Linked DNA regions of Rhinolophus ferrumequinum. The main gene of each other region encodes a partner of the protein of the gene in region 2 in a complex. Links are inferred from orthologs where the notes say so. Each region holds a gene or a part of one and is shown on either strand. Other genes may lie near its edges.

Region 1 (8,273 bases), on a different chromosome or scaffold from region 2:
AGGACAGGAGCAGTTCAAGAAGCTTGGTGTGCAGGGTGGTGGGACAAATTGTGGTAGAGAGGAGGGAAGTGGGACCTGGGCAAAGCGTGTGCAAGTTCTCCTTTATCTCCTGTTAAAATCAGACCCTAAAGGAGGTTAGGGCTGGAAGCTCTTTTGGAGGTCATTTGGTCCAGCCTCTATTTGAGAGATGGGGAAGCTGAGGCCCAGAGAGAGAGAATAACTTGGGTATTCATGACAAGGTTAAGGCTAAGTTCTCCTGTTTCCAACACAGAACTTTCCTACGTCACCACCTTCATGAAGCTATAATTCTGACACTCCAGATCCAAAGAGAAACTTGGGAAAGACAGGACCCTGAAACTCCTGCTCAAGATGGTCTTTTCCCCTCCTCCGCACCACGATCCTACCACTCCTCAGAAACTATTTCCTATGAATAGTTGGTTTACATAGAAGCAAATAAAACCTCTGGCCAATTTAGCCAAAACCTTAGCCAACCCATTTTGATGCCCTGTACACAAGTCACTCAGGTGGTCACTATTCCCAGAGCACTGCATCTTTGGAGAGACTTATTTTTAAAGCAGACCCCCATTCTTTGAAAACTGACTCATCTTCTGAACACATTAGATGTCAGATCACTTGTTCTCTAAGTTTCTCTGAGTTTCTCTGAAATAGTTGGATTAAAGATGCTGTCAGTGTAGAAGGGAAGGAGATGGACACACATAGCAGAAGGGAATGACCTCCCACGTCAGGAAGAACCTCTGGGCAGATATTGAGTTCAAAAGGTCAGGATGCAGTAAAGAGGGGAGCACCAAGGCTTCCTGATGCTGCCTTTTGTCCCCCATGCCCAACCCTTTCACCAGCCCTCTAGGTTTCATGCTGCCATGTACCCCTTCACCCAGGCCAGCCCCCTGGAGTGACCCCAAATTCTCACCACCAACCCCACAATCATTTTGGATTTCAGAAGATCTTCTCAACCCAGCTGTTAGAAAGAAACCTAATTAGATGAGAAAAGTAATTCACATTAAGGTGAGGATAACTAATTGTTTGTCTCTCCTAATGCACATTTGCATTTTAAAATAAGTTTGCCTGAAAGAAATCTCTCATTAGTGGAGGCGTGGGCAAAATTTATTTTATAGGGAAAGCTTTGGAAGTGAAAGTTCTCTCTGGCTTTCATTGTCTACTTCAGGAAGCCACTTCCTTCTCTCTGCCCCACCCCCACTCCTTTCCCCAAAAGCTGAGCCAGCTCAGGGCTCCCTTCTGAATGGCGGCCAGGAACCACCTGAGTGTTTTCAGAGCAGCCATTAGATGGCGTTGGCAGCCAGTGAGCTGGCCCTTCAGCATATCAGGCTGAAGGGGCAACTGGGAGAGCATTGGTCCACCTTGATGGCCAGTCCTGACCAGGGACAAGATGCTACTGTTGTAGCCTTTTAATTCTCCAGTTCAAGTATGAAGCCTGAACTTGCTGGACAAGGCAATTTATACTAAAGCCCTGAGACCACACAGTACATTTGGGTCAGAAAAATGCCCAGATTTACAAGAGAAACAGGAAAACGGTAGTTATATATCACTGTGGGCAAGGGTAAAAGAACACATCGGTAGAGAAAGAAGTAAAATCATACAGGTCTGATAGTCCCTCAACTGTATTTCAAGTCTCCTCAAAATTGTCGTTCTGAAATGATTTCCACTTTCTAAAAACCTACCTCATGATTTAAAGCCTCCCTGAAAAGCCCCTTGAGAGCATTTCCTTACCTTTTGCCCCACTAGCTATGTTGTACACGTGGTAATTTTATCACTCCCCATCCTCTCAGAGCTCCATTCTACTGCTAAAAAGATTGTTTCCTGAAAGCAACATGTTTTCTTTTTGCTTGTATGTAGTCTCTATTTTTCTACACTGAATAAATATTGCCTTATGCCATTTTTAAAAAGCAATATAGTAATGGGGAGATGTCAAATATTGTACTTTTTGTAAGTAGGGAGAGGGTTATAATCCAATCATTGAAAGCCTTGGAAAACTAAATAGAAATCTGTACTTTGTTAATTTTGGCATTAGCTTTATGATAGAACTACACTTGTTAGAACTTCATATGTGTAGGTGAATTCTCTGTGAGCTAAACAAAATATTTTGTGTGCTACTGTAAAATTGCACAGTGGCAATGCCCTTCTGTAAAGATTAGAAGAGCAGGGGTGCAGAATTTTGTCCTTGCAGCATGATACACATGCATGGAGTCCTAAAACAAAAGTGTGGAAGGATTAAGTCATTAAATAAGCCATAAACTGGACATATCTTAACAACTGACAAAACAAATGCACACTTTTACTTTCCTCGACTCCTTCCAGTCATTCTGTGAGAACCACCACCTCCCCCATTTATACGCGAAGAATTTGGGGGATCCAAATGCCTTGAAGACTCCCTCTCCTTCGCTGGAAACCCCCCTTGACTGAGCCTCCGCCACTTCAAATGGCTGCTTCCACCCTGCAATCTAGGGTCTGCGGGATAGAAAGAAGGTCCACTCTGCGGTCCTATTGAGGGGACAGGCAGGGTGGTTCAGGACCTCGGATAGTTCCCGCCCGGGCCACCTCTTTTAACCCCAGCTGGATCCCCTAGAGGAGACCCGAATCATCGTAGCGCAGGCACGTCGGGTGCGCTAAAGTGAGCAGAAAAAAGAGGATTTGGGAGTCTGAATAAAAAAAAATAAAAAAATAAAAAATGTCTAGGATGCAAGGAGCTGATTGTGGCTTTTAGCCCTTTCTCTCCTGCTCCCATTTCCAACGTTAATTTGCGCTAGAGTATATGGTATCTTTTAAGTGACACCTACCCAGAAAATCGGGAGGAAGAGGAGCCAAGAGCCCGGGCTCTCCTGAGATCTCCCCAGAACGGGGTAGGACTCTCAGGGGTCCACTCCCCGGGGGGAAAACGCGGCCGCCAGCTCCTGAAAGACACCGCTCAGCGTCGCAGCCGTTTCACCCACCGTCCGGAGCTGGCCCTCGCGGCTCTGCTGCCGGTGACTTCCCACACCACATTCAGTGCAGAAAGTTTTCAAAGGACTCCGGACTGCGCCGAGCCAAAGGCGCCTCAGGTTGGCGACTGGAGCCGGGCGACAGCTTCCCGCGTTCCCGGGGCAGGGTGTCCCGGGGTAAAAGCGAGGTTCCGCGCCGCTGCACCCTTACCTGTCGTGGGGAGGCTGCTGTCTGGGCGACTCCCGCTGCCCGGAAGGGAGGATGCTCGGCGGCTTCTGTCCGTCCTTCACTTTTCTTCCCTTCTTTCTCCTGTTTCGCCGCCGCCTGGTCCCGGTCGCTGTCCTAGGTCCTTATATACGTCGCCAGAGTGGGCGCTGGACGTGAACTTCCCGGGCAGCGTGACAAGCAATTCCCCCGTCCATAGGAAGGGGGGCCATGGAGCGCAGGAGGGGGGGTTTCCAGGTAGGGGCTGAGCGCAAGGACAGACGTGCCCGGAAAGGGGGCTGGATCTCTGCCCTCCGAGGCTGGAATTAACACTGTCCCGCAGAAAGGCACAGCTGGCAGCCCTCAGGAAACAACTTAATTAAGGACGGTGTCAGGTCTCCAGCTGAGACAACCAGGCGGCTTAGCACTCCGGTGTAGGGTGGGCCTGGTGCGCCCTCTGAGGTCGTTGAGTAGAGGGTAAAATTACTTGTGTGCGTGTTTGGGCTGGCATTGACCTCGTTTGCATTTGCAGGTAAATATCACCGCAAAGGGAGGACTTCCGTAATACCTCAGATTTCCCCAAAGTTTGGTAACTGGTGTGAAGATGTCACCATGAATCACAATCCCTCTGTTTCGGGTAGGGGCCCGGAGAGGGGGTGGAAGGCAGGGGCCTGGGGCAGAGAAGGTCAGGAGTCACACACCTGAGACCCAAGACAGATTGCCTTCTTGGGGTGTGAAGGTGAGTGGCACTGCCCCCACCCCCACATACTCCCCAAGGAACTAGCCCAGGTAGGTTCTCTCCTGTGCCACAAACCCCAAGAGAATGCTATTAACTTTAGACTATTAATGGGGGGGTGGGGAGGAGTGCTCTGTGAAGAGTAGCTGAAGTACTTTCTTTGTGATATCTGAGCCCTTCCCATGGCCATGAACTGGCAGAGTGGTCTCAATCTTCTCCAAGACTGGCCTTGGAGGTCTGGGTTGGCTCCAATCCCAAATGTCAGGCCAGGGAGGAGAAGACAGCACTCAAACCTGCAAGTGGAAGATACTCTTCCTTAACTGGAGTAAAAAAGCAAAATCAGGGGTGGCGGGATAGCTCAGTTGGTTAGAGTGTGGTGCTAATAACACCAAGGTTGCTGGTTAGATCCCCGCATGAGCCACTGTGAGCTGCGTCCTCCTTTAAAAAAAAAAAAAAAAAAAAAAGCAAAAGTAAATTGTGAGGAGTTACAGGGGTGGAAGTACTGAAAATCACCTGTACTTCAAATCAAGGTGCTTGATTTGAATTCAAGGTGCTTGATTTCAAATCAAGGAACTATCGTTATTCACAACCAGATGCCCTTTTGGACTCCAACCCTTCCTTGAGAATGTCTGATTAGTGACATTTGCCTTGTGTTCAGCAATCCTTTCCTTTTGGGCCATGGGAAAGATCCAAGCTCCTCACCAGTAAACGAGGCGGTTTACCCCTTGGTCTTGGCTTCTTTCCCAGGCCATCGTCCACCTCTCCATCCTGCATCCTGGCACTTGCACCACCCACAACATTCCCTTTCCCATGAACACAATTTTCTCAAGCCTCCATCTCTTTGTCCATGCTATCCCCCCAACTAAAACACCCTTCCTCTCTCCATCCACCCAGGAAAATTGAAGTCTTGCATTAAGATCCAGCTCATCCATCATCACCTATTCTCTGAAGCCCTCCTTGGCCACTTGTCCTACTTGTGACGTAAAACATGGCTTTCTCTCTTCTCCAGAGAACTGCATTCCCATCTCATCTGTACACGTAGTCTTCATTGCTGGGGAAAATTTCCACTCAGTCTTCCCTCTTCTACAGTCCTACCCCCACTACCTCCAGGCTTGTGAGCCTCTAAATCATATTGTGATTTTATCTTATTTTCCTTTGTATTATTTTTATAACTTCAAGAGGCAGCTGGCAGTAGCAGAAAAGCCAGACCAGAATAAGTTCAGATTGACCCAGCTTCTGTCTTCCTTTGTCAGCTGAGTTCTTAATTACATGCAACAGAATGGAAAGGCCATTGAAACACATTTAGAATCACTGGGCAGGCTGGGGAACCAAGATTTCAAAATGGGCAGGGACAAAAGGTGGCTGGAATCATGGCCAAAATCTGGCTGCTGATTGGATCCTATGAGAAAGAAAACCAGATTACTACTGGGAACAGGAGGCCACAAGTGGTACTGTCAACACCATGGGCATTGGACAGAGATGTCACTTCCATCCTCAGAATAAAAAGAACAGGAAGGTTGCTGTTCCCACCTCAGCTGATGTCACCAGAAAGCAATGAGCGCTGCCCTCACTTCCTTGTGTCACTAGGTCCTCTTTGAAAGCCTAATCGTCTGAGACGATAATATGATTTTCCCCTTTTTTCTGATCTTGTGATCAATTACACTGTCGATTTTTAGTTTACACCTACCACACATTCCTGGATTGAGCCCTATTTCATTATGACGTGTTATCTTTATATAGCACTGGGTTCAAATTGCTAATATTTTATTTAAGATGTTCACATCCATGTTTATGAGATTGGCCTGTAATTTTCCTTTTTTGTAGAATTCTTCTCAGATTTTGGTATTAAAGTTATACTGTCTTTATAAAATAAGTTGGAAATCCCCACCCCATTTTTTTTATAGTTCAGCAGAAGAATTTGTGTACAATAGTGTTGATCTCTTCCTCAAATGTTTGGGATGATCCATCAGTGATGCCATCTAGGTCTTTAAGATTGTTTGTTTATTGAACTGTTTTAAATTTCAGATTCAATTACTTAAATAGCCCTATTCAATTGTCTGCTTCTTCTTGTGTCAGTTTTATTTTAATAAGATACATATTTCTAGGAATTTGTCCACTTCATCTAAATCTTTAAATTTATTGACTTAAAATTTTTTATTTTGTCTTCTTTTTAACATCAGTGAAATCTGGAGTTGTGGTCCCCTCTTATCTCTGATATTGGTAATTTATGTCCTCTCTCTTTTTTCTTGATTAGTTTTCTTAGGAGTTTATCAATTTTATTAGTGTTTTTAAAGAATCAATTTTGTTTTGTTGATTTTCTCTATTGCATGACACTTTTTTCTATTTCTGAAATTTCAACTGTTGTTATTTCTTGCCTTCTAATTTCTCACTAGTTCTTCTTTTTCTACCTCCCAAGTTGGACACTAAATAAATGCTTTTGCTTAGATAACTGATATTTAACCTTTATTCTTTTAGACATATGTAAGTTGCTTTCTAAGTATGGCTTTAGTTGTATCCCACAAGTTTTGATATGTCATATTTTTATTACCATTTAGTTTAACATATCTTCTTGTTTTCATTGAGATGTCTTGATTGACCTAGGGGTTATTGAGACTGTTCTGTTTAACTTCCAAACATTGGCGGTTGTCTAGTTATGTTTTGAAACTAATTTTTGGCCTAATTTTCCTGTGGTCAGAGAATCTGCTCTATTTGATTTCAGTCCTTTGTGTGTGTGGCAGGAGGGGGTGGGAGGGGAAGCTGCTTAATGGATGAGCATGTGGTCCATTTTGATTAATGTTTGATTCATGTTCACTTCAAAAGAATATGTATTCTATGGTTGCTCAAATATTCTATATCCTTTCTATACCTGTATCCTTCCTGATTATTTGCCATCTTATTCCATTAGTTACTAATTAAAGTATGTTTTTAAAATCTCCCCATTATTTTTGTGGATTTACTACTTTACCCTTTGGTCCTGGCATAAAAACAACTCTTTCTGGAAATCTAATGGTGGATTGGGGCAGTGGGGGAGAGTAACATAGGGTCAGACAGGTACTAGAGCATGGCTGCACGCTAACGGGAATGATTGAGCAGAGAGGGGGAAATTGATGTTGCAGATAAGAGTGGGGGGAAAAAACCAAGTAATCCAAGCTTTAAATAAGCGAGATGGGATCCAGAGGAAGAACCTGGCCTACAAACAGTGGAGGGCCTTCCTCGTCTGTAACAGGGATGGAGGGTCGGGGAAGATGCAGACACAGGTGAACTTACAGGATAACCCGTGGGAGGGCGATGGACTCCTGCCTGTACCAAAGTCTTTACCTTTTAACCCAGCATTTCCTGGGAATTATCCAGGGGACATTACCACACTAAATGCTGTTCAAGACTACTCATTCAATATTGTTTATAGTAGCGATAAAGTGAAATTAAACTAAATACCTATAGTAGGGTATAATTATAAAAAATTATGGTAAAGCCATACAAGGAACTACTCCACAGCCATTCAAAATAATAACGTCAATATTTACTTCTAGACATAATAAAATTATGGCTACATGTGGTTAAGTGAAGTATGATAAGATATAGATATAAATATAGCTAGCAATGGAGATACAAATAGAGATAAAGATGAAAAGGTATCAAAGTGTGATAACAGTTGTTTTGGTTATCCAATGCTATATCACAGACCACCTCCCAAACTTAATGGGTTGAAAGAACAATATTCATTTTGAGCATGAATCTGCAGTTCCGGGGTTTTTGAGCAGAATCTGGAGTCTGGCAAAGCCAGCCTGTCTCTGCCTCACTCGGCATCAGCTTGGGCAGCTCAAAGGCTGAGGTGATAATTACCTGAAGCCATTCACTCACATGACTGGTTCCTGGACTGAGAAGACTTAAACAGCTGGGCCTCCTCAGACACCTGTCTGTATCTCTGTGCAGCCTTGCCATGTGCTCTCTTCAGCATGGCAGTTTTAGAGGAACAGACTTCTGCCACCTAGGCTCAGGCCTCCCAACACGCATCTGGACGCGATTTGCCCTGCGTGTCAAGGGGATGAGTGGTCAGCAAGCACTCCCCAGAGAAGGGGGTGCTGAGTTGGGCTGAGCGGTGATACAATAGGTCACCAGGATGAAGACAGGAAAGGCACTCCAGGCGGAGGGAACAGCATGCGGTATAATAGGAGAAACTCTGTTATATTCTTGGAATGCTGGGTGCACGTGGTGAAGGGAAAGAGGGAAAAGGCTGGAAACAGTCAGAGGCAAGAGGGGAAGAGGTAGGGGACCCTTGAGGGATTGAGTTGGAGTAGCGGTAAGGAGGCTGATCAGAGGACCACGGGGCCTGGATAGCGGGGAATGATGGGAAGCCCGGCGCTCTGCCACGGACCCG
Region 2 (7,525 bases):
AAGTTCTTTCATATACAAAGTAGTCCTGCAAAACTTCTTTGAAGTTGATTCTCATATTTTTATTTTACAGAAGAAGAAACCAAGTATCAGGAAGTATGAATCATTTAGTTAAGTCTCAAGGAAGTAAATAGCAGAGCCTGGATTTTGATTTGCTTTTTTATTTAAAGTACAGGGCCTTTGCCCACTCTGTCCTAGATATCTCTCTTAGGTTTATCAGATTGAGGTAGTTGTAAAGTTTTTCTTTTTCGTTTTATTTTTATCATATAAATAAGAGCACCTGTTCTCCACTTCTCTGGATGTTTATGCAACAACACAGTGATCAAGGAAAATATTGCAATACATTTACATTCCCATTATACACACACACACACACACACACACACTTTGGATGTCCCTTTCTCTCCTGAGCTTGAAGCCACTCTAATAGTGTCACGGGTAGTATTTATGTCTGTATTTCACATTAATAGATGTTAATCATGTGTTCCATTAACATCCAGTCTCAAAAAAGCAGGACTAAGCTATTAAAATAAGTGTGGGATGACGGCAATTATATGAATAACTAAAGCTAATATACTTTGAAATTCAAGGAGAAGGAATGACTTTTACCACTTGCCTAGATCCATCCTAGCTATTAGTAAATGCATTGTTTTGAAGCAAATATTTTTATGGGGAAAAAAATGTATGATATGGTTTTGATGTCAATGTTAAATTTTGACTGATAATTTTTTCTTTCTTCAAAAGAAAATCTATGCTAAGCAAGAAATATCAACAAAAAGGCAGACATTTCTATTACACAGATAAAATATAATAGAAATTAAACTTTATATGGTTAGAATACATGTTATATAAAATAATTAGGTTTGTAATAAGTTAACTCTTGTACTTATAGTTCATTTCCTTTAACAAGAGACATGAGATTTCATAGCAGAGTTGAGATCACTCTGATAGGAAATGTGTAATGTTGGAGAAAAGGGAAAACTCACGATAGGGCAACTAAGATATAATGGAAGCTGGAATTTGAGGTTCTTTTACACTATATATTAAGTGGTTTTTAGTGGTTCTTTCTATAACAGCTCTTCCCTAGCTTTCTCAAGGCTATCGCAACATATTTGAAAGAGAAATTTAATTTTTTTCTGTATTTTGCCCAGTTGTATATTGAATAGATGTGAGATACTGAGATGGTAATGTACTTTAAGAGGATTCTGCAATGATATCCAGAAAATCCTGCATTCAAAATATATATAATAGTTGTCCTTAAGGAAACTTGAGAAAGGGTAATACAAAAAGAAAACATCAAATTTCCATTAAAAATAAATAGTTGAAGCACAAAGTTCAAATTCCTACTCCATACAATGATTATATTTTTTGTAGAATATAATGAACAACACATAATTGCTCTTTGACTAATTCTAGAAGAAAAGTCATATGGTTAGTCAATATGTCTACACAGTTACATCCTGGCTGATTAATACAATATACTGAGCTAAAAAGTACAAAACGTTATTATTGAAACATTCATAAAATGTTTTGTTTTTAAGCTGTGCCATTTAAAAATCAAAAAGATTATTTTAGGTAATGTTATTGTCTTCTTCAGTTTGGGCTGCTATAACAAAATACCATAAACTAACTGTCTTATTAACAACAGAAATTTATTTCTCACAGTTCTGGGGGCTGAAAGTCCAAGATCAGGGAGCCAGCAAGGTCGGGTTCTGGTAAGTGCCCTCTTCTGGGTTGCTGTCTTCTCATTGTGCCCTCACATGGTGGAAAAAGAGAGAGAAATTTTTCTGGGATCTCTTTGATAAGGGCAATAATCTCATTCATGAAGGCTCCATCCTCATAACCTAATTACCTACCAAAGACCCTTCATCTCCTAATGCCATCACATTAGGAATTAGGATTTCAACATATATATTCTGTGGGGACATAAATATTTAGTCCATAGCTCTTATGAAAAAAATATGCTAATTATTTTCAATTAAATTAAAATATTATGTATGTACATATATATATAGAGCGAGAGGAAGGGAGTCCACTATGCATTAAGTAGTGAATGGGCCTGCCCTCAGGAAACTTATTCTAGAGTAGACAAAGCAGGGAAGGTAAATAAAATATATCAAGTAGGAAGCATGCATGTAAAAGATGACAGAATCACACTTCCAAAAGATCTTATTAGATTTGAATCATGAACTGCATCTAAAGATGTAATTTGAAAATAAAAATCCTATACTGTTGTACTCAGATACCTCTGAAACAACTATAAATTTATAGGAGAGGAAAACATGACTCATCAAGTATAAGAAGTAAGCTCCTGCATTCGAAAACTGTTGTCTCTATCTTTTCTTAACTCCAGCACCTGATCCAAAGTAGATATTTAATAAGTATTTGTTGAACTGACCTGGATTGTGTTTAGAAAATTTTGTCAATACTAAACCTAAGGAGGGTCAAGAAAGCAGTGTGTTCAAAAAGAGGAGGTTTAGACTCTTCCTCACTTTTCTTTGGTTAGGCCAAACTTGGGGCACTGCTTTTAACTCGAACTGTACATTAAGAGCAGATGAACAAACTATAATGTGAATAGAAAAGAGGCAAGGCTACTAAAAGAACCCAATACTACATCTTAGAAACAGCTGAAGGGAGCTAATGTTTAACTTGTAGAAGAGATTACTAAGTTATTACAAACATATGAAGTAATAATAACAGTTATCATTTATTAAACAACTACTGTGGCATTCTGTGTCTCATTTAATCCTACTAACAGACATATGAGGTATTGTTACCTTTTTTTTTTAACTGATAAAAAAAACTGTCACTCAATAAGGTGAAGTAACATATCCAAACTCATACAGCTAAAAAGTTACAAATCTAAGATTCACCAAATGATTTTACTTCAAGGCCAGGGCTTATGACATTGTACCTATTTGTTGTTCACATGAAGTCAGCTTAGGCTGGTTGTATGTGTCTTCTAGAGACAGAATAATGGCAGACAAATTTCAGCTCAGTGTGAGTGAATTGATATATTAGTTTATAGGACAAAATGTGGTCAGGTATTTTTATTAGTCTCTAGGAGATCTTTGTGACATTTTATTGCTGAGAGTATAGCCTATAATGTAAAAGGATAAAAATAAATACTGAATACTGGCAAAACAAGAAATGATAAAAATAACATTAGAATTACATCTTCCTTCCGAGTTCCCTCATCCACTCCACTTCCTGCTCCCCAGAAGTATAACTTTCTACAACCAATGACGGCATTTGGTGCCAATGTGTATTGTTAAAAAAAAAAAAAAAAAAAAAAAAAATATATATATATATATATATATATATATATATATATATATATACACACACACACACACAAACACACAGATGTGTAAAAATGAGAATGACTTCAAAATTAGTGTTAATTTTACAAGGAAAAAAAGCTTACCCTTGGTTGATTTACCAATTTATTTCTAAAACAGAAGTATTTGTGGACTTCGAAGTGAGATATGACACTTAAAAATGTATCAATATTCCTCAACCTTATGTGGGCCACTCCAGTTCCAGTTGTCTATGAGATTCCTCCTGGAATCAAAACACTAGAAAACAGACTGAATGAAAGCAAATGGTGTTTGGTTTTAACAATGTTCTACTGAGAAGCACACATCCATGTAGGAAGTCTGGAGATAAAATGGATAATTAATAATTCCAGTGGATCTATGGGATTTAAGATGTGGAGGTTAACCATTATCTTTTGTTAACTTTCCTGGAATTCAATGATTTCTGTAACCCATTCTTGTACCTCTTCCCACCCGGAAAGAAATCAGATGCAACAGGATCTTCTACTCTAGGAGAAAACAGGGAAATATACAATAAGGGGGATAGGTTTTCTCCACAAAAGTTGATGTTACCCATTTGTTTTTCAGAGAAATGCTCACTCTTGTTTCAGGCATGTTTGAAATTCTCATTTAGCAATATGAAAAACACAGCTACATTTTCAAGTATGTGTGGGACTGAGGCACGGAGGACTAAAGAAGAGGAATGTGTGTTCCCTGCCCTAAATGATTGCGATAGACAGTAGGGAGTTGGGGTGTAAGGGTTGCTTGGGTTGCAAGAGACCAATGTCTTTCCTGTCGTATCATACAGAGAAAACGGCGCTGGGAAAACAGTGATGACAGCCCCCACCCTTTCTTATGCTTTACTGCTGCCAAAAACTGTCTGTCTCACTCCCCACCCCTTCCTTCCAACTCTCTTCCCCATTCTGCCCCTCCTTAGAGGTGTTTGCACAGACGAGGGCCAAGTGGGGAGAACAACTCCTTGGACTGCTTTGCGCAAAATCCACCCCTTCTCTCTCCTCCCTCCCCTCCAGCCTCTGGATCCCGCACAGCCCTCTGTCCCCTCCCCCAGCGGTGCTGTGTTGGGGATGTGTCTCTGTACTATTAAGGTGGGAGGGGGGCTACAAGAAGAGGATGACAGATATTCAGTTCTCCCCCTTCTGCCTGACGTTCCTCTCTAGCTCCGCCAGGGTTGGTCTGTGTAAGAAATAGCAGGAGCTGTGGCAGCGGCGAAAGAAGCGGCTGAGGCGTGTGGAACCTGAAAAGTCCGGGTGCTCGCGGTTACCTCACAACGTGGTCCCAGCCGGCCGCCAGCACCATGGACAGCGGCGCCGTCCCCGGGAACGCCAGTAACTGCACTGATCCCTTCACGCGCTCTTCAAGTTGCTCCCCAGCACCTAGCCCCGGTTCCTGGGTCAACTTCTCCCACTTAGATGGCAACCTGTCCGACCCGTGCGGTCCGAACCGCACCGAGCTGGGCGGGAGCGACAGCTTGTGCCCTCCGACCAGCAGTCCTTCTATGATCACGGCCATCACCATCATGGCCCTCTACTCCATCGTGTGCGTGGTGGGTCTCTTCGGAAACTTCCTGGTCATGTATGTGATTGTCAGGTAAGAAAGGCGCCAGAACTCCGAGCGGTGATTTCAGGGACTACTAGGGGCATAAAGGGACACCCGAGCCCCCAGGCAGAGTGTTGGGAGGGAGGATGAGAGAAGAGAGGTAAAAGGGAGAATGTGAAGTGACAATGAATACAGAGTGGTTATTGTTTGAGTGCAAAAACCTACTTTTCCATTCCACCCCCACCCCCCAGTGATAAAGAAGAACCCCAAATTTCAGGAACAGAAAAGTTGCTTTGGTGAGAGCTATAAAGCTCCCACCAAAAAAAAAAAAAAAAAAGTGCTCTATCTTAGAGCTGGCTTCAAGAGGGCTCTGGGGCAGAATCCCACAGTCCTTTAGGCAGAAGTTGTGGAAACAGTAATTTGTGACTAATGCAAGAGGAATTCTAGTTTATTTTCTCTCATTGGGGGCCAGGTCTCCTTCTCAGTTCTTTTCAGAGTTGAACCTGGGCAACATTCCAACTCCTGCTAGTTTCTTTGCTGTACCATATCCCCACCGTCCCCTTCCCTTGTCATGTAGTCCTTACCCCACTCCACCTCCCAGTCCTAAGGCCACACTCATAGAGGAAGTTTTCCTGGTGTCTCGCCACAGTGTTGCTTTGTTGTACCAAATATGACAGTTGTGTTGCCTAGACTAGTTTTTTTAGTTAGCAGCTGCTAGGGAGATGTGCTAAGGAGATCTGACTCGGGAATAGGTAGGGTGGTTCAAAAGTGCAGGATGTAACTGTGTTTCAATGCCTCCAAAAGGAGGAACCAGCTAGAAGTGACCAAAAGCAGCACAATTCTGCATTATAAACTATTATATAGGAAGTTGTAATGGTTGCTCTTAAAAAATAAAAAAATGTCTTTATCCAGGGTAATGATTTCAAAAGAGTTTGTGGCCGATTTTCTGTTTCCCAGATGCTCTGGGTTTACTTGGCAAAGAGTATGCAAACGCTCGATATCAATTGAGATTGTTATAGATTGTGTTAGTATTATGCACGTTCAAATCCTACATTTTAACATGGAATAATACATATTTACGTTTGTTAAAGAAAATAATGATTTTAACACTTTATTTAGGATTTTCTTCCTATTGGGGGATCTGTGTGTTCTATGTATGTAGTGAACATGGAATTTTCATGGTGAGTTACAATATTTGCTTCATCTATTCTGCAAATAGGGCAGGTTTCAATGGAGCTCTTTAACCATTCAACAATCCATTTTCCCCATTATGTTTCTGAGTTGCTTGTAATTGATTTTCTACTTATATGTCTGATTTCTTTAATTAATGATTACTACAGAATAATACTAATTTCTCTGATCTTTTGATGAGGAATAAGATAAGTAACGTCTCTGAGAAAACAGCACCATCTATTGAGAAGAAGGCTAACAACAGAAGATAATGCAGGAAGAGAATCAATGGAAGACTTTATTTTTATAAACATTTACTTTATGTAATCCAATACAAAGATTCATATCAAAGATAAAACCTAAATCTCATTTTGCAATTATTATAATAAAAATCATAATTTAAGGCCTGCATTATGAAGGGAAAATATGTTTCTCATTTTTCCTAAGAAAATTCATGAAATCATAAGCTTATAGGACCAGAAGTGACTCTAAAGATTATCTATGCTAAGTGAGTAAACTGAGGCACAGAAAACATAAATGATTTCTTCAAGGATAGATATTTAATTAGTTCAATACCACTGAATTTCTCTTAGCCAATATAATTTTCTGTTTATTAGAGTGGCAAATCTTGATTTGAGTTAATTAGACAAAAAGATTGACAGAGTAGGTTTAGGTAACAGTAATAATGTAGAAATGATAAATTTTCCCAATTTATGTCTGGAATCCTGGAGAATAATGGATGAATCTAAACTGCCAAAGTATCTAGAAATCCTGCCATATGAAACATAATATTTTCTTCCCTTTTATTGCTTCTCTTGGTATTTTCCTTCATCATTTTTCTCCCCTCTAGTTTATGCTTTTCTATAAAGGGAGAGTCAATAGAGCAGCAACTGGCTGTCGATTAAGCAAATTGGTCTTATTCCAGGTTTAAGAGATTGCTGGTTAGGTGAGTTTGTTTTAAAGGCATTACCTCTAACCTCTTGATGACTTGGAAAAGGATGGTGACATTTTATCTTACTGAGAACATGATATTATGCTTTACTTCTCTGTACTGAAAGTTCTACCAAAATGCCACTATGATTTGAAAGGACACCCAAACATCAACCTGTGGCAAGTCAGGTGTTTAATCCAAGGTCAGATGACCCACTGGGAACATGAATATGAAACAGAAAAATAGACAGTTCAGTGACGGATGGACTGATGAGGAGAGTATCTGGGGATTGAAGAAAGTTTATGTAGCTGAGAATATTTAACTGGACTGTCTCCAGGTTGTGGTGTTTTCACTACAAAATGATGGGTTCAGGGATATTATCGTCCCTGTTAAAACAATGAATTTAATGCTGCATCTATTAAAGTATGGAGATAAAATGCTCACTTCCTGCTACTGTTTAAAATTCAACAAATAATTTTGAATGGTCAAGTACATAGTTACGGTTTTCTAACCAGATTAAGGTAATGTTGATTACAATGTCTTAATACATTGA

Evidence for each region.
Region 1: the proteins of OPRM1 (region 2) and POMC are in contact, whole or in part, in a cryo-EM structure (PDB 8F7Q), measured with the Homo sapiens proteins. The link is inferred for Rhinolophus ferrumequinum from reciprocal best matches to the Homo sapiens genes OPRM1 and POMC. Residues at the interface, in NP_000905.3 of Homo sapiens: Ser66, Met67, Ala70, Ile71, Met74, Gln126, Asn129, Tyr130, Leu131, Met132, Gly133, Trp135, Val145, Ile146, Asp149, Tyr150, Met153, Arg213, Ile217, Asp218, Cys219, Thr220, Glu231, Lys235, Val238, Ile298, Val302, Lys305, Trp320, Ile324; in NP_000930.1 of Homo sapiens: Tyr237, Gly238, Gly239, Phe240, Met241, Thr242, Ser243, Glu244, Lys245, Thr248, Pro249, Leu250, Val251, Leu253.

What each region holds. Positions count from the first base shown.
Region 1 is NC_046296.1:54,938,225-54,946,497, reverse strand, and holds the start of POMC (pro-opiomelanocortin), read right to left. Parts: upstream 3,321-8,273; 5' UTR 3,166-3,320; intron 1-3,165.
Region 2 is NC_046286.1:96,561,733-96,569,257, forward strand, and holds the start of OPRM1 (mu-type opioid receptor), read left to right. Parts: upstream 1-4,179; 5' UTR 4,180-4,629; coding exon 4,630-4,922; intron 4,923-7,525. UniProt on the Homo sapiens protein: Receptor for endogenous opioids such as beta-endorphin and endomorphin. Receptor for natural and synthetic opioids including morphine, heroin, DAMGO, fentanyl, etorphine, buprenorphin and methadone.